Linked DNA regions of Stegostoma tigrinum. The protein of the gene in region 1 interacts with the protein of each later gene in a pairwise test. Links are inferred from orthologs where the notes say so. Each region holds a gene or a part of one and is shown in the gene's direction. Other genes may lie near its edges. The genes, in order: ndrg4, reep6, agtrap and mal2.

Evidence for each region.
Region 2: the proteins of ndrg4 (region 1) and reep6 interact in binary tests that used the Homo sapiens proteins (3 or more experiments, as listed by UniProt). The two-hybrid records come from large-scale screens. The link is inferred for Stegostoma tigrinum from reciprocal best matches to the Homo sapiens genes NDRG4 and REEP6.
Region 3: the proteins of ndrg4 (region 1) and agtrap interact in binary tests that used the Homo sapiens proteins (3 or more experiments, as listed by UniProt). The two-hybrid records come from large-scale screens. The link is inferred for Stegostoma tigrinum from reciprocal best matches to the Homo sapiens genes NDRG4 and AGTRAP.
Region 4: the proteins of ndrg4 (region 1) and mal2 interact in binary tests that used the Homo sapiens proteins (3 or more experiments, as listed by UniProt). The two-hybrid records come from large-scale screens. The link is inferred for Stegostoma tigrinum from reciprocal best matches to the Homo sapiens genes NDRG4 and MAL2.

Annotation. Positions count from the first base shown.
Region 1 is NC_081369.1:10,586,703-10,593,893, reverse strand, and holds the start of ndrg4 (protein NDRG4), read left to right. Parts: upstream 1-4,179; 5' UTR 4,180-4,180; coding exon 4,181-4,265; intron 4,266-7,191. UniProt on the Homo sapiens protein: Contributes to the maintenance of intracerebral BDNF levels within the normal range, which is necessary for the preservation of spatial learning and the resistance to neuronal cell death caused by ischemic stress.
Region 2 is NC_081383.1:11,413,497-11,420,488, reverse strand, and holds the start of reep6 (receptor expression-enhancing protein 6), read left to right. Parts: upstream 1-3,975; 5' UTR 3,976-4,129; coding exon 4,130-4,244; intron 4,245-6,992. UniProt on the Homo sapiens protein: Required for correct function and survival of retinal photoreceptors. Required for retinal development.
Region 3 is NC_081381.1:28,426,043-28,433,864, reverse strand, and holds the start of agtrap (type-1 angiotensin II receptor-associated protein), read left to right. Parts: upstream 1-4,806; 5' UTR 4,807-4,877; coding exon 4,878-4,904; intron 4,905-5,260; exon of another isoform or gene 5,261-5,361; coding exon 5,362-5,396; intron 5,397-7,822. Other genes in the region: draxina (draxin), read left to right, coding at 40-129, 1,398-1,510. UniProt on the Homo sapiens protein: Appears to be a negative regulator of type-1 angiotensin II receptor-mediated signaling by regulating receptor internalization as well as mechanism of receptor desensitization such as phosphorylation.
Region 4 is NC_081358.1:12,535,127-12,542,329, reverse strand, and holds the start of mal2 (protein MAL2), read left to right. Parts: upstream 1-4,189; 5' UTR 4,190-4,286; coding exon 4,287-4,415; intron 4,416-4,509; coding exon 4,510-4,680; intron 4,681-7,203. UniProt on the Homo sapiens protein: Member of the machinery of polarized transport. Required for the indirect transcytotic route at the step of the egress of the transcytosing cargo from perinuclear endosomes in order for it to travel to the apical surface via a raft-dependent pathway.

The DNA of each region.
Region 1 (7,191 bases):
ACTCAGAATGAAGGTAAATGACTCAAATTGTGAATCAGGGGACTGAAGGACTCATCGATGTGAGGACCTTTAAAGGAAAAGAACATCACATACACACCTGTGTACTGTACCGGACACTGATCTGCAGGGTCTCTAATCCCTGGCTATCCTATTGTATAATCCCTAATTTGTTATGCCCGATACATCGCTGACAAACTCATTCACACCAATACTTTTGGACACAGTGGCCAGGAAAGAATAAGGATGTTGTAGAACGAGGGCCAAAAATGTCAGCAGCAGCTTTATTCCTCTTGCTTCCAGATGATGCAGTTAATTTTCACTACAGACATCAATTCATGGTACATCCTTTTTGGTCAGGGATTATTCCTCATGCTGGAACATTTACAACTGGGGCTACACCGAGTGACAATCAAACAGATGTACGACGAAAGCAGTGCCATTTATAGAAAAGTACAAATTAACATGCGTTGTGTTGACACCTGTGTCACCAAAGTGCCCTCAATAAGTTTTTTTCTTCCTCTCCCTTACATCTTAATGCAGATCTTACCACATCTTAACGTAGACCGGGGTTTTGCAACTGGGGTGGAGGGAGTCTGCTCAGCAGTGGGGTCTTATGCCATAAGGTTTGATTGGCTGACCATGAGGACACTTGTGTCAGGATGGAGCAAACATGCTGAGGATCTACTTGATGTGAACTTCCAAGGGTCAGGGAGGGGCAAGGAGGTAGTGTGACCAGTCACCTCTGGTGTGTCTCGAGTAGAGGCTAGGTACTCTACCTCTACCCTGCTTATCCAGCCATATCATGCTGCATGAATCCTTCTCCAGTGGGGCAACTTCTGGCATTGCCTTGTCTCCTTATGAGGAAGGGGACCTGGAATACTTATCAGATTTCCTGTCTCCCACTCACCATGCCTTCAGTCCTGAAAACCAGTGGCCAGGGTGACGGAGTGCAGGAGCATATACCCCTCCACTAGAGCTGATAGCCGTACCATAGTGAATGGCAAGAGTGAGAGCGCAGAATGTATTTAATGGAAAACTTAAACTCCATCTAAACAGTTTCAGAATTTTAGTTTCAAAGTTCTCAATAAAAGTTAATGCATTATGATCTGTAAAAACTAAAACTGCACAGTTTCTATGTCAAGCAAAAAAAGTGTTGAAAAGCTACTAACACCAGCAATGCTTCTTTTTCTTTAGTAGAATCTCTTCTCTGATGTTGCTTCAACTTATTGGAAAATAAGCTTTTCCATCTGAATCATGTCATTCTGTAAGAGAACTGCTCCAATCCAAAATCTCTTATAAAAACCGAAAGAACTGCGAATACTGTAAATCAGGAACGAAAGCAAAGTTGCTGGAAAAGCTCAGCAGGTTTGGCAGAATCTGTGAAGGATAAAACACAGGTAATGCTTCAAGTCCGGTCACCCTTCCTCAGAATTTCAGAAGGTCACCGGACCTGAAACGTTAACTCTGTTTTTTCCTTCGCTGATGCTGCCAGACCTGCTGAGCTTTTCCAGCAACTTTGTTTTTGTTCCAAAATCTCTTATGTCTACTGCTTATTTGAAAACCATTTGCCCAAACTGTCTCTGATAATAAATAACATATTCCAGCAATTTCACCACAATTGATGTTAATATACAAACTTTTTGCTGCCTAGTTTCTGTTTCCCACTGTTAAATTACAAGTGAAGCTATTATATTTCAATCCAAAGGCACAAGTTCTAAGCTTAGTGAAGTTTGAACATTTTTGACTATTTTTACATTTGGCAATTTCTTCCTCTTCCTTTTAATTCCCTGATGTGACTATAAGGAGCTGATTTGCAATACACAGTCTGGCACACATCACCCAGGTGAATTCAGAGTTTTAAACTGTTGTGCAAGGACATCGGGACCCCTGAGCATTCTTTTGATTACATTCCAAAACTGACAATCACTGAGTGTAAATAACACAGAATGGGCAAAGTAAGAACATTCTAGAAGAAGACTACAACGGTACACACTAGAAATTTAGAGAATCTTGAGATTAGTCCAAACATAATAAGTCAGAGTGTGGTACATCTATGGTTACCAAACGTGGCAGTATTTAGTATTAATATATTATACATTGTGTTATTTTGAATTCTAAGCCTACAAACCTTTCTTGACTTTGCCTTCTTACCTACACTATAAAGCACACAAACAGTGTGGCATCAAACCACTTGATAAAACATGGTGGCAGCTATAGGATCCACTGCATAGATAACTGGTGGCTGTGAAGATCAAGAAGTAGACTTGAAATCACCTGATGAAGAGAACTTGAAAAATATTTTTTTCACAAAGCCAGTAGTACAGTTTTAAGACCTCCCAGCACCCAGAAAAATGTCACAAAGCTAAACATCGAGGTGAAGAAAACATCTCTAAACAGAAAACTCCTCTTAAAAAAAAACCCACCAGAACACTCAAGTCTCAAAAGCCTCCTACATCCAGTAAAAGAGGAAACAAGCTTTTAAAAGAGCAGAAAGAGCAGTAAAAACACACTAGTAATGACGGCAGGGAGAAAATCATATTTTGACTTGCTGAATTGAGCATTTAGAATTCTACTCCAAACTGAGCAGGCCACTTAAAAGAGTTTAAACAGCTATTAATTGGTTGCCACCATATTCCGTACTGGCTTCCCCAGCCTCAGTCAAAAGTACAAAACTTTCCTAAAGGCATTGTGATCTTGAGACAAACTATAGTAACCATAATTTTTAAATTTTGCAAACATCAGTTCAGTCCTCCAAAGCCCTTTGAAAATATGGCCCCAGGAGTCTGTAATGTCCTGAGGACTAACTATTTTAATTCTCATTATTGTTTTCATTACCATGTTAAAAAGGCTATATTAGACCCAGGCAATACTTCTCCTTTCTCCACAGTTGTTAAATGTGCATACTAACAATATCACATGTGCAAATGAGTATATAAATTTCATTATTTTATTGATTCAATTTGTTCAACTACTTTATATGTTTTTTTAAAAGAGGCCACGATATATGGCGGCCTGGGGAGAGACGTAAGCAGAACACAATTTTATCTTACTTGAAACCCGTCCAGTTAATGAAGTTTCCGTATTTGCCTGTATCTATTTTGTCGTTTATTTTTGAATATAGATAACACATCAGCTTATTCAACTCTTCAGAATGGCTGTGGGTCACTGGTGTATTTGAGTACTGCTGAATTGAGTGGCTGTGAATGTTTTGCTGTTAAGTGGAAACGCTGGATGTCTATTGGAGACGCAGTCTGAACATCACGAATATTTGCCAGTGATTCTCTGAGGGTGGATGTCTTCTTGCTTCTCTCAGTCTGTGGTCACTGAGGCAGAGCTGTCTTTCACCCCGAGTAAGTGACCGAGAACCTCACTGTGTGAACCCCACAACGGTTAGCACAGTGGCCCGGGTACGATCTCCAACGTGCGGCAGGGCGCCTGGAGCCGGGATTTTAAACCGGGTAAGTGGGCCGAAGTGGGCGGAAATTCCTTCGAAACTAAGGTATCTATTTGCAGTCGAGTTAGGATATCATGTACTGACCTCAGCATCAGTTGATTTAAAGAAAGCTGCTCGTTGTTGCCGTATTTTTTTTTAATATGTCGGGTGCGTTCAGTAGCAGGAAGACTTTCGCATTCAATAACCTCACTTTTAAGCAATTGGTGTAAGCTTCGTGTTTGAAGTGCTTCAGTTTCGAGGTGTCCACCTGGTCCTAAAGTCTACCTTCATTCATCGTTATGAGCTAGATTTCTAAAGCTAAATCGAATTTAAGTTCGAGGCGGTGTGTGTGCTTTTAGAAGATTTTTTTGGAAAGGTATTCCTTTAGACGTCAGGGCTGTATAATTTCAGTTGAGGGGCCCTGTCCAATAAGAAGATGTGACTAGCAGAGCTTTGTCTCTGCGTACAGGGGTATTGGACATTTAACCAGTGGGGATAAACTGGATAGCGGAGGAGAACAAGATTCTTTCTATTAATGAAGTACGTATTTTGGGGGGGGGGGGGAAAGGTGTAAACGTTCATTACAAATAGTTCAAGTTCGACGTGACAAAGTGCAGGACGATTGTTTCTTTCAATGCAGCTCATGAAATGTGGTTCGACACTTGCCATTACAGGTTATAATTACCATAAATATTTGCATTTAATGTCACTTCCTGCAACACCGTATTGTTCCTCTTTCCCTGGTGTATGCACACGCATACAGTAGTTGACACTTCCATACATATTGGCTGTCACTATACGACCGAAAACCGATCGGGCAGAAATGCGTCAGGTGGACAATCATAAAACAATTTTGATCCTTTTCTTTGTTTCCAGATCTTTAGGGAAGTAAGGTTAGAGTTCAGAATGAGTGCCGAATAGACAAAAAAAGTGTTATGACTTTTTTGTGTTCTAACTTCCCTTTCTTATTTTGAAAAAGTGTTAAACCTCTCTGTTGTCAGTTTATAACTCTTGGTGTGGGGAGAACGGCGTCGGTGTGTAACTTATCCTTTAGAAGAGAGAATGCAGAACCTCTGATCCATTGAGTGCCTAACGTCAAGTGCAAGTTGTGGTTGGAGAGAGATACTGACAGTTCGAAAAGAGAGGTGGGAGTGAAAATGGAGCAGGATTCCTTTCACAATTTGATTACAAATGCTGAAGTATGGAATGCAGCCAGAGAGGAAGGAGGAATTGATATAAACTCAGTAACAAACCTAGCAGAAGGAAACATTACCAATCAGCAAAGTAACAGAGTGAATCAGGCAGCGAGATTGTGCAGCATGAGAATCTAAAGATCAAATGATCATTCTGGAAAGACAAAAGACCCATTTAGAAAAGTGAGGAAATAGATAAGCAAAGAACTTGACTAGCAATGTATTTCATTGGCAACATTCAACAGAGTACGGCAATAAGATGAATAGGAAATGAGGAAAGAAGATATTAAGGGCAGATCTTGGGGTTGATAAGACTTTCTGTAAAAAGAGAGAAAAGGCTCATTGCATTGGAGGTTTTATCTTGAGTTAAAAGAGGTAATAAAATTAAAAATTTAGTAATAACTCTGAATACGGAGTTTTTATACTTCTCACTATAGCAAGGATGTTGCGACTTCAGGGAATGAAGTTGATACTGTAGAATGCTATGAGGATATATAAGAAATGGCTCCGTTTCTCATTCTAACAATGCGGGTTAGACAATACTGAATTCAGTGTTGAGCTTTGAACATAGGCTACAGAAGTCTGTTTTCATTAATTGTGGGGTCAAGAATGAAAGGCCTTTAATACAATATTAAATATGAGATCTAGAGCTTAACATTTTCAGTGTGAGGCTGTAGAATTCATTTCTAGGTTAGTGGCTGAGGAAGAAATTATATTAAAATTCAAGACAGTAGATTGAATCATTAGATGAGGAATTATTTGATCATCAGAAGGAGTGGGTAAATGTCAACATGGACTGTTTGAGCTGAATGGCCCGTTTGCATGTGTAATTTCTGTGTAGTAACTTGTTGGTGTATAAGCAAGACCGCAGCTTTTCAAATAAAAAGTGTTGTGAAACTTAGTTGGAAGACCAAGACCCTGAATGCAGGACATCACCTGGAATGACATGTCGAGACTTTTCACTCAAACAAACAATCCAGGGTATTAGCTTGGTGATATCAAGCTGTGGTTTGGAAGGCTGGTTTATAGGACAGTGAATAACCGGGGGTCTGAGGAAAGATCACTTGACCCTAAACGTTAACTGATTTCTCTCCACAAACACTGCCAGACCTCCTGAGCTTATCCTGCAATTTTTATTTTGTCGCTGATTTATAGCATTTGCAGTTCTTTTGGTTTTTATTTAGTATTTAACTCTCTGCCGCTTCTACTCTTGCATCCTTTGTCATAGGTTATGGTTTGGAATCTCTTCAACAGGGTTCAAGTGAAATGGTAAGCTATAGTGCAAAACTCCAATGGTTTTATCATTTCTCATCTAAGTTCAGATGTTAAACTATTATTTTGGACAATCTCCCTAGTATCTTTTGAAGAATATAATCAATGAGTTGTTGCCTGGGGTTTGTTTTATTTTCAGATCAGTGCTATCTTACAATGGTGTTAACAGAAGTATTGATGTGAGTATTGACAAACTTTATGTACAGAATATGGTGTAAGATAGAACACCAACCATTTCTTTTAAATTAAGGTTAGGGATCCCTGCCTTTGTCTGACTGTCCCTGGAGTGAATTCCGAATGCAATTGAGAGGGAAGCTTGATTACCAGGTCTCAGCTTTCTGTTCAAGCTGGCTGAATTAAATTTGGTAGCTAACAGATTATGACTATAGACCATGAATCATTTCTTCCTGCAGCTATGGGGTGGTGGGAATTTGTTGAAGTCCTATGCCGAAATAGTATATTAGAGATTGATGCATGAGCATATTGATGATTCTACACCAAGGCCCCAGTGTGTAATGTGCTTTCATATGATTATGACTGAACCTGCAGTCTGTTTTTGGACTATCATTGGACAGACAGATTCACTGCTTATATATTGATCTTCAGAATATGGGATTAAGAATGCAATTTTAACTCAGACAGTGGGACAAATAAAATAATATTTTTGTTAGTACCTTCCTATTATGTTGAAACGTCTGTACTTCCTACAATTGTTAACTTTTTTGGACCTGTTTGTTGCGTAGCATTGACTTCTTACAGCTGTAAGCATGCTGCCTAAAATGAATGTGAATGCCCTGAAACTGGTTCCTCCTGGATAAAAACCCACAGTTCAACAACTCCCCTAATTTAACATGTATTGGCACTAAACAGCCACAGCAGGAATTAGAAAATTTCAAAACTGAGATTGATAACTTTTTGTTGTGCAAAAAGGGGAAAAATATAGGGTGGGATGGTGGCTCAGTGGCTAGCACTGTTGCTTCACAGCGCCTGGGACCTTGGTTCAATTCTGGCCTTGGGTGACCATATATGTAGAGTTTGCACATTCCCCGCCCTCCATCTGTGTGGGTTTCCCCCAGGTGTGCCAATTTCTTCCATAATCCAAAGTGCTGGCTAGGTAGATTAATTATGGGAAATGCATGTTAGAAATTGCGTGGGACTGTTTGGGATGCTCTTCAGAGGGTTGGTATAGACTCAAGCTGAATGGCTCACTTCCACTGTGGGGATTATATGAAGTAACAAGTAGGGCTGAATGGCTTTCTCCTGTTCTTACAAGTGATCTTCAGTATGGAGAAT
Region 2 (6,992 bases), on another chromosome or scaffold:
CCTCATCTTGCATTGTGAAAAAATAGTTTGTGGGCTTCATCCCAAATTTTGGCCATGATGTCACAATTTTATGTTATCAACAGATATGGAGCAATCAGAGATAGCACCCACTGATTTACAGCAAATGATAAACTGTGTGGGCGGAGGAAGAGTTGAACCTGTCATCATAAAACTGTAAAGTGGATATATATCTGCTGAAAAAGCTAGGGATGAAATTGAAAGAAATGTTAACTTAATAGATTTGTCTCTAAAATATGTCAAACAAATACACAATTTACTAAATTAATAGGTTTGAAAACAGAAAGTGCTGAATCCACTCAGCAGATCAGAAAGTATCTGAACAAAAAGGAATAGCTAATATTTTAGGGTTTTTCATCAAAGGGGATACAAATGTTGAATTACTGTTAAATATATGAGAAGGGATAATGATTAAACTTTGTAATTCTCTAATTAGACCACACTTTGCATCCTGTAAGTAACCTGGCCACTTAGAAATAAAGAAAAATCAGAAGTACAGGGGAATAAAAATGAACGGAAGTATCATGTCTCTCAGATTGGAAAATAATTTATGATTCCATTTGAAAGCAGGTAAAGAAGGCCCTTATTGCAAGCCATCACTACACAGAGTTAATGTTGTTACGCAGCAGTTTTTGAGACATCACCTTGCCTTACTAATACTCTATAAATAAATAACAGAGAAACAGTAATTATTAAGAACTTGCATCTCATTGGAGATGCTTTAGGCCAGTCCACATCCATTAGCCAGCTATGAAAACGGTGCTCATTTTTTAAAGCTATGACAAATTCCAAGGCAGCATCTGATATATTCTGCAGCATTCTAAAAGAATAATGTTTTAAATCAAACAGCCCTCACCAGGGACAAAAAGAAGGCCAAGATAACTAACTTTGCCGAATAAATTCCCAAAAACCAAACATTGATTCCTGTTACTATACCACATATAATGCAGTCCCAAAACATTTTAATTGTGAAAGTACAAATTAGATTCATTAGTAGTTACAAGTTGCAGAAATTTAAGTTTTACAGATTTTACATTGAAGGAATTTGTTGTATTGTTTTCCTTTTCAACTTTTACTTCAGATTATAACCATGTGCTCATTTTATGCCCTGGGTGTGGCTCCCATGTTAACTATTTTTGCATAGAAGTCACTGTAAAAGATGATGGAAAGAGGAAAGTGCATGGAATAACAACATTGACATATTCATTTGTTTTTGCCCAAATCTCTTTTAGCTCTTGCAGGTGTTTTAGTTATAATTATTTAGCTCATATTACAACAAACCAAGAAATTTATTATTTACTTTGAAACAGCAATTTACTGTTTTATGTTGTGTGACCCATTTTTCTAAGCACAACTTGTCTTCTATTAAAATGCAGCATAAAATCTACTGATAAGATTGCTTTTTTTGTTTAGATTTTAAGTGTATTTGTAGCATTTTCTGTGCTCTGTCTATTTGTGTTTTGTTAGCACCAATAAATGAGGGAAATATTTAATTATAATTATGATCAGAAGCAACAGTAATTTGAATACTAGCTTTCAAAGATCATGAACAGTCTTTTTGCAAATTACTCAACTGATTTAGACTCTTAAAAGTAGTTTACAATGCTCAGAAAACAACTTGAACATTTGAAAATTATACAATTAGAAGAAAATAATCAAACGTTTTAATTCTAAACCAAAAACAGGAAATATTGAAAACACAAACAAGACACCTGTGGAGAGAAAGGCTGGGCATTGGATTAGTTTTGGCTATTTGTCATAATGAGCTGAATAGACACTTTCACTAAAACAGCTACCAACTATGTTGCCTGCAAATGCTGGTAGTCATCCTGACTTTCTAGCCATTTGCATATATAAGTAGACTATGCATCATATTTACAACACACAAATACACCATTTGGTTCAGCTTGTCCATACCAGATTTTACACTCTGCACAAACCACCTCCACCCTTCTTCATCAAGTCCCATACTCTTCTATAACCTTTTCGCTCATGTGCTTAACTTGATTCACTGTAAATGTTCCACAGTACAGAATTGCAAACTTTACATCCTTGTTCACAAAAGTGTGTAAGGTTAAGATAGCAACTATGGATCATTCACTTTAAGGTTGTTGGCGGGAAAAGATTTAGAATCAATAATTCAAGACCCAATTAACAGTCTCTTTGAGAAATACAAAGTTGATTAAGAAACCGACATAGAATTATGAAGGGGAGATTAAGGCCATTAACTAGCTTAAGTTTTTGATGAACCAACAGAGAGAGTTGATGAAGGTACAAGTTATGGTGAAGTTCTAAAATACACTAGTTCAGCCTCAACTGAAGAATTGTATCCATGTCTGGATAGTACATTCTAGGAAAACATGAAAGCATTTTAAAGAGTGCAAAAAGTATTTACAAAATTAATTTCAAGTTTGCACAATTTTAGCTACCATAGCAATTTGAGAGGAGTTTTGATAGATTATGTTCAAAATAATTAAGTTTCTGCACAAAATGTAAAGTCCCTATAGTTGGGACAGTTAAAACCCAGAAAACATTAATTTAAGATGACTTGGAAAAGAACCAAAGGCAACATGAGAAAAATCTTTTTTATGTATTTATTGTTTATGATCTGGAACCTGCTCTGCCTCTGATAGAAGCACATTCGGCCATGGTTTTCCAAAGTGAGTTGAATCATTAATTATGTAAGGAAAAAGGTTTTCGTGGAGGTGGGAGAAAGCAAATGCCGATGAAATGTTCTAGCTGAAGTAGCATAGACACGACAGACTAAATGGCTTCATTCAATAACCATGTTATGCTTCTAGATGGTTCACCTCTCCTTGTGTTGGTGAGTTTCACAATCTGCCTTTGCGAAACAAAGTTTCTCTTGAATTGAAAAAGATTTTTAAATTAGTTATCTTATACATTTGGTCATAAAGTATTGGCCTCCCAACAACAATAAATGGTCTTACTACATCTACCTTAGGACTTCCAAACCTTTTCCCAATGATGCCATTTCAAGACTTGAAAATTGTCATGAACAAAACAGAAGGTGCTAAAAAAAAGCTCAGCAGGTTTTGCAATACCTGTGATTAAAAAAAAAATCAGAGTTAACATTTTGGGTCATTGACCCTCCATCAGAAGCATTGAAAATTGTCATGACTCCTCAAGGAAAACTGAGAAGTTGGGGTTGGTGGTGGTTGGAAAGACCTATGAGAACAGGAGGCAAGAGCAAAGACCTATGAAAACGAGAGGAAAGGAGCAGTGACAATGGGAACTGCAGACGCTGGAGAATCCAAGATAACAAAGTATGGAGCTGGATGAACACAGCAGGGTGCTTTGTGGTGATCATTACTGCCTGAAAAGCTTGCAACCCCAAAATTTCAGCAGGCAACTCTGCTAGAGTCACGAACCCCCACTTTGAGAAGCCTTGACCTACTCTAGTGAAGCAAGTTGTAGCATCAAATACGTCTAGTCGGTCTTCTACTTTTTCAGAATAAAACGTTCAATTTTTTTTCTGATATTGATGAACTCCGAATTCAGGTTTAACTCCAGTAAAGAGATAGTAGGAACTGCCGATGCTGCAGAATCTGAGATAACAAGGTGTAGAGCTGGATGAACACAGCAGGCCAAGCAGCTTCGGAGGAGCAAAAGGTTCCAGACCCGAAACTTCAGCTTTCCGGCTCCTCTGATGCTGCTTGGCTTGCTGTGTTCATCCAGCTCGACGCCTTGTTATCCCTTAACTCTAGTAAATCTGTTCTTGCATCTATAGTATTCTTGTGCCTCTATACAATTTTATAACACGGTGACCAGGACTGTAAATTGTACTCCAAAACATGGTCCCTTCTGGACTTGCCTGTCTATCATTTCTTTTTAAATCGCTATACAAAGTCAAATTGACAAACAAAGATCTGGGTATGAGTATCAACCGTGGTTCCAATTGGGCAACTGGTGTGCCAATCACAAAATGATGCCGGAAACGTAGCTCCAACAAACGGATCGCGTCGTCGTTAAGCGGATTGGCAGAAAGGTTTGAGAGTCAGCAAAGTGGAAGATTAGTGGGATAGCTGCAATAAACGGAACGCGTTGGGAGTTAGTAGTGTCTTCTGTTACCTTTAGTAGTATTTATTGCAAAATGCCGTCCTTGCGAGAGCGCTTTGAGAATTTCCTGAACGAGAAGAACTTCATCACCAACTTATTGGGGAAGATTGAAGAGAAGACCGGGGTGCGTAAATACAATCTAGCCACAGGTAGGTCACAGAGACTTGTTAGCACCCAATTGTAATATGTTGTTGAATGTCAACTTGCGCTGGCTTCGACTGCGATTTGATTTCGCTTGTAAAAAGAAAGAACTGAGGACGCTGGAAATCAGAAATTAGTGGAGAGCAGTCAGGCTTAACGTTTCGGGTTGAACGACCCTTCAGAACGCGTGTCACCCGTCTGCTACATGTTGCCAAAAGCTGTGGTTACGTTTTTGGGGAAGTCAAGACCCTTCAAGACACGAATCGGTGATATTGATAGTGGAAATTGTAAGGGTCACTTAAATACTTGTCTTTTTTTTGCAATCATGAGCTGTAACGATTTAAATTGCATTGTTAGTGCGTGGTTTTGGAGCTGAGAGGCATGTGGTTTGTGTCAAAGGACAACATTTAAAATTCCAAGATTTATATGATATTCTAAGCATATGCTGACTGAATTGGTACTCTTTATATATTAACAAGTTGGTTAGAAACTTGGTCTGTTTTAGTAAGAAGGAGGAACCACAATTGAAACAGTTTTCACTTAATTGTGGTAGATATAGGAAATCTGTGAATTTGGTTAAGCTGTTATTTTTGAAGGAGTAGCATTGTATGTTTCGTGCAGATTAGAATGCTGGGAGGTTATGTTGTGGGAATGTCACTGGATTATTAATCCAGATCCAAGCTAATCCTCTGGTGACATAAATTCAAATCAGATTCAATTAGTAAAAGCTGGAATTGAAAACTGGCCTCAATAATGTTGACCGCAGAACTGTCATCAATTGTTGTAAAAATAAACTCGTAGTTCAGAGTTCACTGCTTATGCATGTGACTCGTGACAGGAACGTGGTTGATTCTGAAATACTGTAACCCAAAAAGCCATTCAGTTCAAAGGCAATTGGGATGGGCAACATACTTTAACTTTTGCCAGTGAAACACGTGTGAAAGAATAAATTTAAAATTAATTTTATTATTGAAGCAGTGCCAAAAGAAAACTCCAGCACCAGAACTCATAAATTAAATATATTGGGGGAAAATTCAGCAAGGGGATTTCCTTTTTCCTCGAGAAAAGAGAAAATGGAGGGGTGACCTGGTTAAACCTGTGGTGTAGGACATCAATAAATTTGTTTGGCATTCCTTGTCGAGAGTGTTCAGAAATTGAAATCCAATAGTGCAAGTAATTGGGTGAATAGCATAGATGCCCTCTAAGAAGAAACTGAATGGACGTGCATGCAAAAAAAGGTTAAACTATTAGAACTGAATTTAATGAAAACTGAAGGAGGTTGGTGTGATGCACAAGCACTGTGAGCCAGTTGGGTCAATGACCTGTTTTCTTCTGTTCCGCACTATTGCGTGTACTATTTTGCGTCCAAATTCAGTTCTGATCCAACATTCAGCAAGTATCCCAGCAATATGCAAAATATTTTAAAGACAAGATGTTACCTAAATATGCCACTTCTTTTAATCTTCTGTTCAAATCCTATGCTATTTCAGGTCTATGTGTACCTTCAAGAAGCTCCTTTTTGAAACTTATTTCCTTAATTACATATTTTATTTGTCAATCTGAAAAGTTTTCAATTCAAGTTCTGAAGTATGGGCTTCTTAACACCAATACCAAAAGGTACATGTTGAAAGTAACAATCCTTTTTGTGTATTGAAATGTAAAAAAATTTCACATATTTTAGACTTCCACAAATGTGCCAGCTTTTTTGATACTAACTGTGTGTCTACAGAAATTTTAGTTTTCTCATTTATGCAATTGTTTATTTGCACATGGTGGAAATACCTTCGTGTTTTCAAATATCTTTTGGACTTGGGCAGGATAAAGAATGCAAAGGAATACATGAAGAGTAGAACAACCCTAGGAATTGCTGAGGATCAGAGGACTTTGGTGTGCATGTCCACCTATCCCTTCAAGCCATAGGACAAGTCGATAAAGTGGTTAAGAAGGCACGTGGATATTTGTCTCTAGCTAAGGCATTAGAAGGGAGTTTATGTAGGAATTGTATTTAAAAAGTTGGTCAGCCAACAGCTAGAGTATTGTGTGCATTCTGGAATCCACACTTTAGGAGGAATATATCATTGGAGAAGATGCAAACATAATTAATCAGGATTTTTTTTAAAAAAACAACAGCAAAAGAATGGTGGAAATCAGAAACGGGAACAGTCTGCTGGAAAAGCTCAAATCTGGCAGCATCTGTGGACCTAACATCTTCAGGTCCAGTGACCCTTCTTCAGATCAGTTCTTCCATGTTACAGAATATTTGAACTCTGTGACTAAAACATTAATGTGGTAATTCCCCAAAATGATTTCCTTAACTCCACTTACTACTTATGCAGTTAACTCCAGATAAACCACAATCCATTGCCGGATCATCCCTGTTTGGATAATGGCTCAGCAACTTGCTGGACATGGAACTGAATAACTGAAAAGAATAAATGCAAAAATACTGAAGTTGCTGGAAATCTGAAACAGGAATGGAGCACTGGGGAAACACACAAGGACAGGCAGCATCGGTAGAGAGAAAAGAGTTGGTGTTTCAAGTCCAGTGACCCTTCATCAAAACAGAAATAGACAGAATAGTCAGTAACCGTGCTGATAACATTCATGGGGTTGAGTATGTGATCTGTTATAATATGTACACACCATGTAACTAAGAAGAGCAAAATGTAATGGAAGTTCATAACTTGTAACTTGTATTGCCAGTCAACCTTGATGTTAAATTCCTCTCTTTAAATTAATCTTTGTAAGACTTAACA
Region 3 (7,822 bases), on another chromosome or scaffold:
ACCTGAACTTACTGTGATATCCGTGTTTGTTTTCCACAGGTTGGTGTTGTGACCTCCGGCAGCACATCTGCAAAGCCCACAACCGCGGCCTCAATAACAAGTGCTATGATGATTGTATGTGTGCAGAAGGTGGGTGCAAGCTTTGGCTCAAGATTAGCCAAAGTCTCTGAGGTTTGAGCGCTAGCTATCAACATAAAAAGTTTAATCTTCCCTCTCACTCCCTACCGGGTTACCAATGATGTGCATCAAAGTCAGATTTGGTCCTGAAATTGAGGGTTCGCCACTTCAAAGGTACCCTCGCTCAAATCTTGGGGTGCTGTCAGGATTGTTGGAGGCATGTGTTGGTCCTCGAACAAGCTACTCTTAACAAAACAAAAATGAAGAATTGCGGGTGCTGGAAATCAAAAACAAAAAAAAACACTAATTACTAGAAAAGCTCAGCAGATCTGGCAGCAACTGTGGAGACAAAGCAGAGTTAACGTTTCATTGAAGTAAACATTAAAGCTACGTCCACTGTTAGGTTGTGTTTTGACTCTGCATTACACACTGAAAGTGTGAATTATTAATATCAGAATGGTAGATGGAAAAAGAAGCTCAGTCTTGTTAGAAGTGATAATGTGCAGGTGCTGGTGTTGCACTGGGGTGGACAAGGTCAGAAATCAGACAATATGAAGTTTTAGTCTAGCAGGTTTATTTGAAATCACAAGCTTTCAGAGTATAACCTTTTTTGTCAGGTGAAGTGAGAGGGAAGCACACAGAGACAGAATTTGTAGGCAGAGAGATCAAGGGCAGAGAAATCAAAAGATCATACAAATGGTGAGAGTGGAGTGTCAAATAATAAGTCTCTGCAGGTGAGCAAAAGTATCAGATGTGAGTACAGCATCAACAACTGAATAACAAACCAAGGGATTACCTATAATCTGATTAAATGAGGCTCAGAAATAATTACAAAAACATTAAAAGTAAGGTGGTGCTGGAGACAAACCAAATGACTGGAATAACATGACATCATCTTATTTTTAATTTTTTGTAATTATCCCTCTGCCTCATTTAATCAGATTATAAACCATCCCTTCACTTGTTATTCAGCTGCCAACACTTTACTTATACGATCTGACACTTCGGATCACCCATGGAGACTTATTATTCAACACTCCACTTCACACCAGTTGTATGATCTTTACATCTCACTGCCTATAAATTCTGTGACTGTGTACTTCTTTCTTATTTCGCTGATGAAGGGGCTATACTCTGAAAGCTTATGATTTCAAGTAAACCTATTGGACTATAACCTGGTATCATCTGATTCCTGACCGTGTTAGAAGTGAAGTTGGCAATTGAGCCAGGCCCTGTCAGATGAGTGCTCAAGACTGAACCCACTCTTCTGTCTTTATCAGGTCTTCGCTGTTATGCCAAGTTCCATCGGAATCGGAGAGTGACCCGCAGGCGAGGACGATGTGTGGAACCAGAATCTGTTGACATCAATCATGGATCATTTATTACGGTCTGAGCAGACATCATAAGGAATCCAGCTGTTTTGACCCACACAACGAGTCAATCCTCATCCAATAACAACAGTGAAAATCTTGATGGCTCCAAGAATGCCTGTGACTGCCCTGATAGGCGATGCCACATCTGGGGCAGTCTGGAATAAGATTCTTGCAATCACCCAGTCATGTCTGTTGAAAATATCCCTATTTACGCCCTACATTCCAAAACTATAATCCAACAAATCCCAACAATACCCAGAATCCACTACTCAACTATGATAATGGAATCCCCAATGGTTTATATTGTCCCATTCAACTCATTTCTTATTTGAAATGATCCTGCTGCTCGTACCCACACGAAAATTGTATTTGTAATACCGTACTTTCATAAACAGTTTTGAATGTTATTTAGCAAAATGGTAACTAACACAATATTTAGCAATAATACCTTGTATACAAGAGTTTCTTGTTATCTTTGAATTCCTCCTTATATCTTTTTATTTTCTAGGAATCTCCCTACAGTTCTCTCCCAACAGCTTTACTTGAGACAACCTCCCATCAGGTATCACCCTTCTGTTAAAACGTTGTCACCATTGATCATTCATGAATGATCATTCTCTTGAAATCAGATGTCCCAACATGTTTTCAGCTTTAAACTTATTGATATTACTACAAACCTGCAATATTTCACCAACTTTTAAAAATAAATATAATTTAAACTCACAATAAAACCAGACTCTTTAAAACACAATTTAGGCTCCTGCACAGCCTAAAGCCGTGATCAATTACTGTATAATAATTGAATTGTTTATAGTTAATCAATCTGAAATTTTTCATTTGATGTTTACTGAGCTACATCTCTAGGTGCTGGTACCAGCCTGTACCTTGCCCAAGTGACTGTTACCAAGTATGAGTCTAAACATTGAATATTCGTAAATTATTTGTGGACTGTTTGAATGTGAAGGGCAACAAAGACTCTGTACTTTTCTCACCTGATAACTGGGCATATATCCAGGAGTGTCCCAGATAATAATAAGAATCAGAAAAGCTGGTTGATGTTATACAGATATGTCGAAGCTTTATCATAACATCCACCGAATAGATGACCCTTGTTTTCAAAGGACTACTGTCATTTCAACTTAATATAACTTATAATTAATTACCTTTTCCAACAATGTTCTCCAAGTAGTTTTCAACCCTTGTTATAACTTGTGTTGTAAGAGGTGAAGATGGAACAAGGAATAGAAAGTACTGAAAACACTGAGCTGGTCCGTCTTCATCTGTGATAAGAACAGAGATTCGTTGTTTTGAGTAAAGGTATTTCAGATGCACAACAGTGTCTGTAATATTTTACTTCTTGTACAATGTTAAAACACAGCCTTTCTATGACTCAGGTATAGATGGGCATAGGTGCAGTTCTTGTGTTTTTGTATTAGGACAGTCCAATTTAGATATTGCAGTAAGGGTCAGGGTTGTGATGTGAGAATCTCTACTTTGAATAACTGTAAAACTGAGAGAATATTTAACTTTTTTTATAGATATATTGTCACATTATTATAGTTAGTCACTGTGACAACCATCTGGCTTGAACACATATTGCTGTTTTTCATCATTGTTGGGTCAAAATCTTGGAAGTCTGTACCTAACAACATTGTGTAAATATTTTCATACACAGATAGTAATGATTCAGGAAGGCAAATTACCATCACCATCGAAAGGGCATTTAGTGATGGGCTATAAATGCAGATCTTGCCAGCAATGCTGTATCTCAAAAAGAAATGTAAAGTCTTTGCAGACTGTATGTCATATTGTTATAGTTGCATTGTCTGTTATAGTTACACTTCGTGTTGTCCTGCATGTGAATTTATAGCAATGGAATGCATGACGAAAGAATGATTATGTATCAGATTTTGCACTTTTGTTTTCTATTTAATTTTAATATTAGCCTACATGAAACAAACAAAATCTGACAACCAATTAAAAACTTTGAAATGGAACATACTGACTAAGTTCATCTCACATCTTGGTGCACACCTGATTATTTCAGTCTCATTGTAATTTTAATTGTAGAGAAAATGAACTTCAGAATCGCTTCTGTCAAATGTTCATTTGTTTGTATCCAACAGTTAGATTGAGATGTGTTCTTTATTATTGGATCAAAATGTAGAACTCCCAGCACGTTGGGAGAACCTTCACAACATGAATTGTAATGGTTTAAGAATAAGGTCTAGTGCCATCACACCAAGGGAAATAGGTAGTACAAGCTGGTCTTGAGAGTTACCCCGCCCCCTTTACCTATCTCCTCCCTACCTCCTGCATTCTCTCTTACTGGCTCCATCCCCGCCTCTTTGACTTGTGTGTCTTTTCCACCGATCTTCTCTATCCATCTTCGATCCGCCTCCTCTCTCTCCCTATTTATTTCAGAACCCCCCGCCTTCTGAAGAAACGTCTCGGTCCGAAACGTCAACTTTTCTGCTCCTCTCATGCTCTTTGGCCTTCATCCAGCTCTACACCTTGTTATCTCGGATTCTCCAGCACCTGCAGTTCCCATTATCTCTACCACTGAGACACAGCTGATGCACCAAAGTCAAGATAGTTTTGGCTTTGTTTTTTACTGTCAGTATTTTTTGTCTCGCACCTGATACTTTACATATTTTAAAAGGTACAGTGTATTAGAAAATCTATCCCTAACTGATTTGACGTAAGCAAGTGGCAGTGGTGTATTAGTTTGGCATTTGAGGGATGTGCAAGCCCACCATAAATATTTGATTATTACGATTTTAATGAATGTCCACAGTGTTGGTCGTTGGTCTGGGGGTGTGATCTGCTGCAGCAGGTCCGACACCCGATAGAGACCAACTCCGTGTGGACAAGTGCCAGAAACCACAGCAAAATGCGAAATGTCACAACTCCCGCACTCCTGTCAGCGTTAACATATTCATTTTGTTCAAAAGCCTCCCCTGTCAACAACGCTCCCATACCCTAAATAACCAATTCTGAAACAAAAGTTTCATTTGGCAGCATCGATGTATGTCGATTTAAAGTTATTTTAGCTAATGTAAAATTAACGGGTTTTTTTCGTTCTGGGGATAATGACGATTCAAGTGACTCGGCAGAAATATAATGTTAGCGCATCAGAGGCCCACTGACTGTGAACTATGTCCACGATTAATTTTAAGACTCTCTTATGACGTTAAGCAGCTGATTCTCAGAGAGCAATGAGTCAGTGTCATTGATCGGTTTTGCCACCTTCTTCAATTGTGGGGTTTGAGGCGGGAGGAACCCAACAAACATCAGCACCCTGAGGGTTTCCTCATCCAGCCCGGGTCACATGATGCAGGGTCACATGGGTCGCCTCGAAGTTTGTTACTTCATGAAGTTTCAGCGATGGAACTGCCGGTGGTTAGCCTGAAGGTAAAGTTTGTGGAATGGAAATGTGAGGGTCAAGAAATCGAACTCCGGCTGCCCGCTAAGAACAGGGTTATCGATCGGGATCTTAAAGAAACAGTCTGGCTTTAGGAACAGCCCGAAGTTTAAATTATTGGTGTTGTGCGGAGCTGAGCATAACTTTTGTCCCTTCATCCCCTTTTCTCCCTCTCCCGTTGTTCCCTTGCCTTACCTTCCCCTAGCTCCTACTGCCTGCTTTCCCCCTTCACTAGTGAGCTGCAGACTGATATCTAGTCGACGGGCTATAGGGAGTGGTTTTGTCAAATGACAGAAATTCTGAGTCAGTTTCAGGCTATAATCTCGGGTGTTCTGTGATTCTCTAGGAATGATGTTGTGGGAGAACGACAGACTCTAGTTCAGTCTGTCTATAGAATTGTAGTGTTTGTTTGTTCTTTCGGATTGACCTGGGTTCGTGTTTCTACAGATGATCATCGTTGTGCACTGGCTCCTGACAACTTGGTGAGTGATGCATTAATTAACAAGCATCTGTTAACTGGATTTGTATTCCTGTCCACATGGTGAAAATATGTGGTAATATCAAACGCTCATTGATTTTTTTTCTTAGCCCTTTTTTGTTGTAGAAAAAGTATTGCATCCTGCTTGAGGATTAATTGAAAGTAAATTGCCATTGAGACAAAGGAAATTATATAAAGGTTGACTAAAGAATTGGCCAAAGAGATGGAGTTTAAGGAAGGCTTTGAAGGGGCAGCAAAGATTCTAGAACACAAACCTCAGAAGAACAATATTCAGTAATTGACAGAAAGTGACCATATTGTAAATTATTGTCCAGGATATATGTTCCAGAGGTTAGACAACAGCTAATAGTCATTGGAGCAAATATTTAAGGGGAGCTGGTTAGGAAGGGGCAGTGCTGTCTGGAGTTTGTATTGAACAATGAAATGCAGATAGGGTGGCACGGTGGCTCAGTGGTAAGCACTGCAGCCTCACAGCACCAGGGACCCGGGTTCAATTCCAGTCTCGGGCGACTGCCTGTGTGGAGTTTGCACATTCTCCCCGTGTCTGTGTGGGTTTCCTCCGGGTGCTCCGGTTTCCTCCCACAGTCCAAAGATGTGCAGGTTAGGTGGATTGGCCATGCTAAATTGCCCATAGTGTTCAGGGTTGTGTAGGTTGTAGGGGGATGGATCTGGGTGGGATGCTTCAAGGGGCGGTGTGGACTTGTTGGGCCGAAGGGCCTGTTTCCACACTGTAGGGAATCTAATCTAGGAATCGAATCTAATCAATTTATGGAAAACTGAGTCCTGCTTCGGTAATTGGATGATTGACAGTATGTGGCGGTGGTAGTGAAAGAGAATGTTTCACAACACTAGTTATTTAGACAGTGTTTGGAAGGTGTGGGTGGAAGTTGTAGACATGGAAGAAACATAGAAACAAGACGAGGGTATTCGGTCCTTCAAGCCTGCTCCACCATTCTTCATGATCATGGTTGATTATCCAACTCAATAGCCTATTCCTGCTTTCTTCCTCATAATCGATCATTCACCCCCAAGTGCTATATCTAGCCACCACTTGAATACATTTACTGTTTTGACATCAACAAATTTCTGTGCTAATAAATTCCATAAGTTCACTACTCTTTTGGGAAAATAAATGTCTCCTCATCTCTGACCTAAATGGTCCATTTTGATTCTCAGACTGTGATCCCTGCTTTTGGACACACTCACCATTGGGAACATGCTCCCTGCATCTATCCTATCTAGTCCTATTAGAATTTTCTAAGTCTTTGAGATCCCCTCCTCATTTGTCTGAACTCCAGCAAAGACAATTCTAACCTAGTCAATCTCTCCTCATATGTGAGTTTCATCATCCCCAGAATCAGCCTAGTAAGCCTTCATTGCACTCCTTTTGAGAGCGAGAGCAAGAGCATCCTTCTGCAGAAAAGGAGACCAAAACTGCACACAATATGCTATGTATGGCCTCACCAAGGCCCTGTATAATGGCAGCAACACATCCCTGCTCCTGGACTCAAAACCTTTCGCAATGAAGGCGCACACACTATTTGCCTTCTTGACCGCCTGCTGCACTTGCGTGCTTAATATCAGTGACTGGTGCACAATGACATCCAAGTCCCACTGCACACTCCCTTCTCCCAATTTACAGCCATTCACGTCATAATGTGCTGATAACAAAGTGTGAAGCCGGATGAACACAGCAGGCCAAGCAGCATCTCAGGAGCACAAAAGCTGACGTTTCGGGCCTAGACCCTTCATCAGAGAGGGGGATGGGGAGAGGGTTCTGGAATAAATAGGGAGAGGGGGGGAGGCGGACCGAAGATGGAGAGAGAAAAGAAGATAGGTGGAGAGGAGAGTATAGGTGGGGAGGTAGGGAGTGGATAGGTCAGTCCAGGGAGGACGGACAGGTCAAGGAGGCGGGATGATGTTAGTAGGTAGGAAATGGAGGTGCGGCTTGAGGTGGGAGGAGGGGATAGGTGAGGAAGAACAGGTTAGGGAGGCGGGGACAAGCTGGGCTGGTTTTGGGATGCAGTGGGGGGAGGGGACGAGATGGGCTGGTTTTGGGATGCAGTGGGGGAAGGGGAGATCACATTGATACCATTGGGCTGCAGGGTTGCTAAGTGGAATATGAGTTGCTGTTCCTGCAACCTTCGGGTGGCATTATTGTGGCAGTGCAGGAGGCCCATGATGGACATGTCGTCTGAGGAATGGGAGGGGGAGTTAAAATGGTTTGCGACTGGAGGGTGCAGTTGTTTATTGCAAACCGAGCGTAGGTGTTCTGCAAAGTGTTCCCCAAGCCTCCGCTTGGTTTTGCCAATGTAGAGGAAGCCACACCGTGTACAGTGGATACAGTGTACCACATTGGCAGATGTGCAGGTGAACATCTGCTTAATATGGAAAATCATCTTAAGGCCC
Region 4 (7,203 bases), on another chromosome or scaffold:
GACAGTTCAGACCAGAAGATCCTTGACTCAATGTTTATACATCTCCCAACATTGTTAGCCCTATCTAATTTGGATAGTCGCCACGTAGATGCGGAATGTCAGTAACTCGTTATCTACTTCAAACCCTTAACTACTACTCTTCTCACCAACCTTCCTGCAAGAATGTGATCCCTCACTCCCAACTCTGCTACCTCCGCTGCATCTACTCCTAATTTGGAGCATTCCACTCCTGGACATCCCAGATGTCCTCCTACTTCAAGGACTGTAACTTCCTGTTCCATTGATTGAAAATGCCCTCAACTGCATCTCTTGCGTTTTCCACACTTCTACGTTCAAACCCCCTCCTCCCAACAAAAATAAAAGCAGAGTCCCCCTTGTCCTCACATACCACCTCACCAACCTCCGCATCCAGTGCACAATCCTTCGCTATTTCCGCCACCTACAATCCAACCCCACCACCAAACAGATATTTCCTTCCCCACCCACTATCTGTCTTTCCTAGGGACCATTTAGTCCGCAACTCCCTTGTCCACTCACATTCTCTACCAGCCCCAATACACCCAGCATCTTTCCCTGCACCCAAAGGAGGTGCTACACCTGCCCCTACACCTCCCCCCTCACCTCCATCCAAGGCACAGGACAAACTTTCCTGTACATTCTTCAACCTGGTCTACTGTATCTGTTGCTCCCAATGTGGTCTCCTCTACATCAGTGAGACCAAATGTAGACTTGGTGACATATTTGCAGAGCACCTGCGTTCTGTAAGCTATAATCAACAACACCTTCTGGTCGCTAACCATTTAAACCAACCCTCCCATTCCCCGGGTGTCATGTCCATCCTGGACCTCCTCCAGTGCCACAATGACAACACCCACAAACTGCAGGAACACCTCATATTCCATCTCGGGAGCCTACTGCCGGATGGCCTAAACGTAGGATTCACCTATGTCAAAATCTCCCCACCCCCGGCCTCATCCCATGTCCAACCTTCCCTCTCATTCCTGCCTCCCTTACCTGACACAACCTGTCCATCTTCTTCCTATCTATCCGCCCCACCTTTCCCACTGACCAATCTCCACTACTCGCTACCCACATCCACTCACCTTCATCCCACCTAGCTTTTCCCACCTCACCCCTGTTCTCTATTTATTTTCCAGCTCCCTTTCCCCTCTCCAGTCTTACTGAAGGGTCTAGGCTCGAAAAATTGACTCTTCTGCTCCTCTGATTCTGCCTGATCCGCTGTGTTCCTCCAACTCCGCACTGTATCAATCTTCCCTGTAAACTGCTTATATCCATCTCATGACCTACCTTTCCACTTTTTTTTGACATTTGCAAGTTTGGCTACAGTGCATTCACTTCTTTCAATCAAACATGTTTTGTAAATTGTAAAGCCCCCAGCACTGATGCTCATTAAGAAGGATGGGAGGTGACATTATTGGGACGTGCAAAATTTTTAGGAGGCTTGTTAGGGCTAATGCAGAGAGCTTGTTTCCCTTGAGGGACAACCTGGGGCCAGTGAGAATAATCTTAGAGTAGCAAGTCCAGTTAGGATAGAAATGAGATGGAATTTCTTCTCTCAGCTGAGACTCAGCCCATGGAATTATTTATTGCATACGATGTATATTCAAGGCTCAGGTGATTTTAAATGAGAAGTTTTTGGGAAAGGCAAGAAAATGAAGTTGAAGACTACCAGATCAACCACAGCCTGATCGAATGGAAAGTGGATTTCATAAACTGAATACTCTACTTCTGCTCCTACTTTTAATAGTCTAAGAAAATGTTTGTTAAAAGAGTATTACAGTATCGTTAAACTTCAAAGCACTAAAAGCCTGGCCGGGTACTACCTGGATACCACAAACAACACCTGTTGCTCCGACAACAAATCTGGCTTTACCACTTAATCCTTAAGTCTCTAAACATTGTTCGTTTCTGATCCTACCAGATCCGGTTGAAATATGATTCGACGTTTAAAGACGTCATCAAGGCCACCCTCTCTGTATCTTTATCAGGCACAATGGGTGTGTTGATATTTTTCACGGAGGCATCGCTTTCGTTTCAGAAATCGTGTAATTTTTTTTTGCTCCTTGCTACGCCCAATCATTGCACCTGAATACTGTCCTACCCGTGACTACAGTGTTAAAGCATAAGTTGAGACCGATGGAGAAGCTAACTTCACTGTCTCCTACCAATTGTTATAAGCAATCTGCAGATGGGCTACTTAAAGCACAAAGAACAAGAGCTGCATTTGTTTGTTTTGGGTCAGTGCGGGGCGGGACCGTGCCGTTCCGGGAGGGGCGGGGCTGAGCCGGGCTATGATCAGAGATAATGGGAACTGCTGGAGAATCCAAGATAACAAAGTGTGAAGCTGGATGAACACAGCAGGCCAAGCAGCATCTCAGGAGCACAAAAGTTGACGTTTCGGGCCTAGACCCTTCATCAGAGAGGGGGATGGGGAGAGGGTTCTGGAATAAATAGGGAGAGAGGGGGAGGCGGACCGAAGATGGAGAGAAAAGAAGATAGGTGGAGAGGAGAGTATATGTGGGGAGGTAGGGAGGGGATAGGTCAGTCCGGGGAGGACGGACAGGTCAAGGAGGCGGGATGAGGTTAAAAGGCAGGAAATGGAGGTGCGGCTTGAGGTGGGAGGAGGAGATAGGTGAGAGGAAGAACAGGTTAGGGCGGCGGGGACGAGCTGGGCTGGTTTTAGGATGCAGTGGGGGAAGGGGAGATTTTGAAACTGGTGAAGTCCACATTGATACCATTGGGCTGCAGGGTTCCCAAGCGGAATATGAGTTGCTGTTCCTGCAACCTTCGGGTGGCATCATTGTGGCATTGCAGGAGGCCCATGATGGACATGTCTAAGGAATGGGAGGGGGTGTTAAAATGTTTTGCGACTGGGAGGTGCAGTTATTTATTGTGAACCGAGCGGAGGTGTTCTGCAAAGCGGTGCCCAAGCCTCCGCTTGGTTTCCCCAATGTAGAGGAAGCCACAATGGGTACGATGGATGCAGTTAATCCACTTCAACAACACCTTCCACACCAACCTCAAGTTCACCTGGGCCATCTCCAACACATCCCTCACCTTCCTGGACCTCTTTGTCTCCATCTCAGGCAACCACCTACAAACCGATCTCCATTTCAAGCCCACCGACTCCCACAGCTACCTAGAATACACCTCCTCCCACCCACCCTCCTGCAAAAATTCCATCCTCTCTTCCCAATTCCCTCGCCTCCGCCACATCTGCTCCCAGGATGAGGCATTCCACTCCCACACATCCCAGATGTCCGCGTTCTTCAAGGACCACAACTTCAACCCCGCAGTGGTCAAGCACACACTCGACCGTGTCTCCCGCATTTCCCGCAACACATCCCTCACACCCCGCCCATGCAATAACCACCCAAGAGAATCCCCCTCGTTCTCACACACCACCCCACCAACCTCCGGACACAACACATCATCCTCCAACACTTCCGTCATCTACAATCTGACCCCACCACCCAAGACATTTTTCTATCCCCACCCTTGTCTGCCATCCGGAGAGACCACTCTCTCTGTGACTCCCTTGTCCTCTCCACACTCCCCTCCAATGCCACCACACCCGGCACCAACCGCAGGAAGTGCTACACTTGCCTCACACCAGCCCAGCTCTTCCCCTCCACCCACTGCATCCCAAAACCAGTCCGACCTGTCTCTGCCTCCCTAACCTGTTCTTCCTCTCACCCATCCCTTCCTCCCACCTCAAGCTGCACCTCTATCTCCTATCTACTAACCTCATCCCACCTCCTTGATCTGTCCGTCTTCCCTGGACTGACCTATCCCCTCCCTACCTCCCCACCTATACTCTCTCCACCTATCTTCTTTACTCTCCATCTTCGGTCCGCCTCCCCCTCTCTCCCTATTTATTCCAGTTCCCTCTCCCCATCCCCCTCTCTGATGAAAGGTCTAGGCCCGAAACGTCAGCTTTTGTGCTCCTGAGATGCGGCTTGGCCTGCTGTGTCCATCCAGCCTCACATTTTATTGTCTCTGAGCGGGGCTGGGCCGTGTGGGGCAGGACTGAGCCGAGTGGGGCTGTGCCGGGCGGGGCAGGACTGAGCCGGGCGGGGCTGTGCCGTGCGGGGCGGGACTGAGCCGGGTGGGGCTGTGCCGGGCGGGGCAGGACTGAGCCGGGCGGGGCTGTGCCGTGCGGGGCGGGGCTCGCACTCCCGGCTCAGTTACACCTGTCTGGATTCGGTGTCGCACGGCTCAGCCGCCGGTTCCCTGGCTCCCTGCGGGCGGTCTCACCCACCACCATGTCGGCTCCTGCTACCAATCCCAGCCTGAACTCTAACGCCATGGCTTTCCCAGCTCCTCGGATAACCCTACCTCTGGGGATCTCGGTTCTGCAGACTTACTCCGGGGCTTTCATTTGTTTAGAGATTGTGAGTTAGCACTTGTTCCCAGGTCTGCAACTTAGGGGCTGGTCACTGACGCCGAAACTGCCTGCTAACATTGGTCTTTCTGTTTTGCCCAAAGCTGTTCGGAGGTTTGGTGTGGATTTTGGTCGCTTCGTCCAACGTGCCTGTGCCCCTGATGCAAGGCTGGGTGATGTTCGTGGCTGTCACTATGTTCCTGTGTTCCACGCTGTACCTGTGCGTGTACCTCTGCGGCCTGGCTGACCGACTGGATACGGACTGGAATCTGGTTGTGAGTAAATGTCCCTGTCACCGATTTATCCCAATACCTCGTCAAAGTCGTCCGCCCCGGGCATCATCAGTGAAGGTGTAGCCCGGAGCTGACTGGTACAAAAAAATCCCTGTGTTGGGGTCGGGGGGCGGGGGGGGGGAGACATGTAGCTATTCGGTAACGTCTTAAAAACCTCGCAGCTTCGAAGGGAAAGCTACCTGTTGTTTTTCCACCTTTTTGTTTTCCCCTACAATTTGTAGAGCAGTCTGTCGGTGTGCAGTGGTATTGCAGGCACCCGGAGCATCTCCTCACCGATTTTGCTCAGATTTCTAACTGCCAGTTTCAGAGTCTGAACTAAAAATAACATTGGGACTCTGTAACGACGCTGACTATCGATTTTTTAGACTTTTTTGCTTCGGGTCTAATCCTTCCTTGTTAGAGGAGGTGGTGCAGCGCGGAAATGGAGGCCACGGAACAGGCTTTTTGTCTTCCCACATGAAGCTGCCTTCTCTGATTTGCAGGAGAGAAATCTGATCCTTCCTGTTGCCCTCCCTGTTACTGAGGACAATTTTATGCCTCAGTAGTTACCCTGGCTGGAATACCTGAGACTGATTTTCTCAGCACCATAACCTGCACTGCTGGTAGGTGGAAGAGACGTTCATGAGGAGTATCAATGCTAGTTGGAATGGTGATAGAACTCTGCACTGGTGATATAAATCTGATGCACATTAGTCAGCCAGCCAGTTGTTGACATGCAGGTACAGTATTTGTGCACTTCCAAAACACAAATTCAAAGAACTGTGGTCTTATCCATAGCCTCCCAGCATGAAACTTCTACTTGCTATAAACTTGCACTCATCTAAAACAACATTGCTCATTCTAACTCACAGCAATTTTCATTGCTCTGCAGGGATATGTTAGCACAGTGGCCGTCTTGTTAGAGGAGCAAAATACTGCAGATGCTGGAATCTGTACTGAGAACAACAAATGCTGGAGATCACAGCAGGTCAGACAGCATCTATGGAGAGAGCAAGCTAATGTTTCAAGCCGAGGTGATCTTAGTCCGCTCTGAGTCATCGAGACTCAACAATAGCTTGTTCTCTCCCCGTGGATGCCATCTGATCTGCTGTGATCTGTAGCATTTGTTTGTTTTCAGGCCCTTTTATTGGACTAGCAGTCCGAAGGTGTGGATTAGTGACCTGGAGTGAGTTCAGATTTCATTATAGCAGCTGTGGAGATATAAATTCAGTTAATTAAGTAAATCTAAGTAACTAATTAAGTAACTGCTACTTTTCACTGAATTGCTATGGAGATAACAAGGTGTAAAGCTGGATGAACACAACAGGCCAAGCAGCATCAGAGGAGCAGGAAGGTTGACATTTCGGGCCAAGACCCTTCTCAACGGAAAGCAGAAAATGCTGGAGAAATATCCTGGCAGCATCTGTACAAAGGAAGTAGAGGATTTCTGATGCAGGGTCTAGGCCGGAAACATCAACCTTCCTGCTGTTCTGATGCCGCTTGACCTGCTGTGTTCACCCAGCTTTACACCTTGTTATCTCAGATTCTCCAGCATCTGCAGTTCCTACTATCTCTGCTATGGTGATATACACTTTTATGTGCATATCATAGGCAAGAACTTTGAATTCTGATGATAAAGACTTCAGTTTTCTTTTACACTAGGTGCTCAGAAATCTGGCCTAGTTTTAGCACCTGCATTACTGTGTTGAAAAGATTTACAAGTTCATGTTCAATCTGTTTGATTGTATTATGAAAATCCCTTCCTTGGCTGTTGAGTTCTAGAGTGAAACTTGAACCCACAGCCACTGTTCCTGATGTTTCTAACTGTATAAAAGGACATCCCTTGTGTTTTTAATGTACTTAAGCTAGATCCTTTGCATAAGTGTCAAGCTAAAACAATAACGTTACGTGGTATTCAAACATTTGATGTTTTATGTAAATTCTCGAAGAGGCCATGTGGGTTAGACATATGTTGCCAGTGCAGATGCGAAAGGTTAATACCGTAGTAGGAGGTAAGCAAGGTTCTTGAAGGGTTGTAAAACTAGGAGTGATAGAAGTGAAAGACCAGGAGCCAGTACAGATGGTCAGAGATGACTTTTCTATTTTGTGTAATGTAGGTGTTCCTGTGAGATTATCATTTATTGCCTGTCCCTAATTATCTTTGAGATTATTGTTATGGCTTGCCAGACCGTTTCTGCAGCTATTTAAGTGTCTGGTGGCATAATTGTTTGGAGGCACATTTTTACCAAGACAGTTATGGAAGGCAAACTTCCTTCTCTAAACATTAGTGTGTAAGATGTGTTTTATGACATTCTACTACTTGAGGTCACTGTTTCTGAGATTTCAGTTAAGTAAATCTAGAATAAAATGGACTTTTATTCCCTACCTTCCCCGGTTTTTCCAGCTGCTGTAAAGAGATTTGAACTGACTCCAATCACTAATCCAGGCCTTTGAATTGCTAGTTCAGTATAGTCAGTGTGGACTCAGTGGCCCAAATGGCTTGCTTCCACACTACAGGGATTTTAT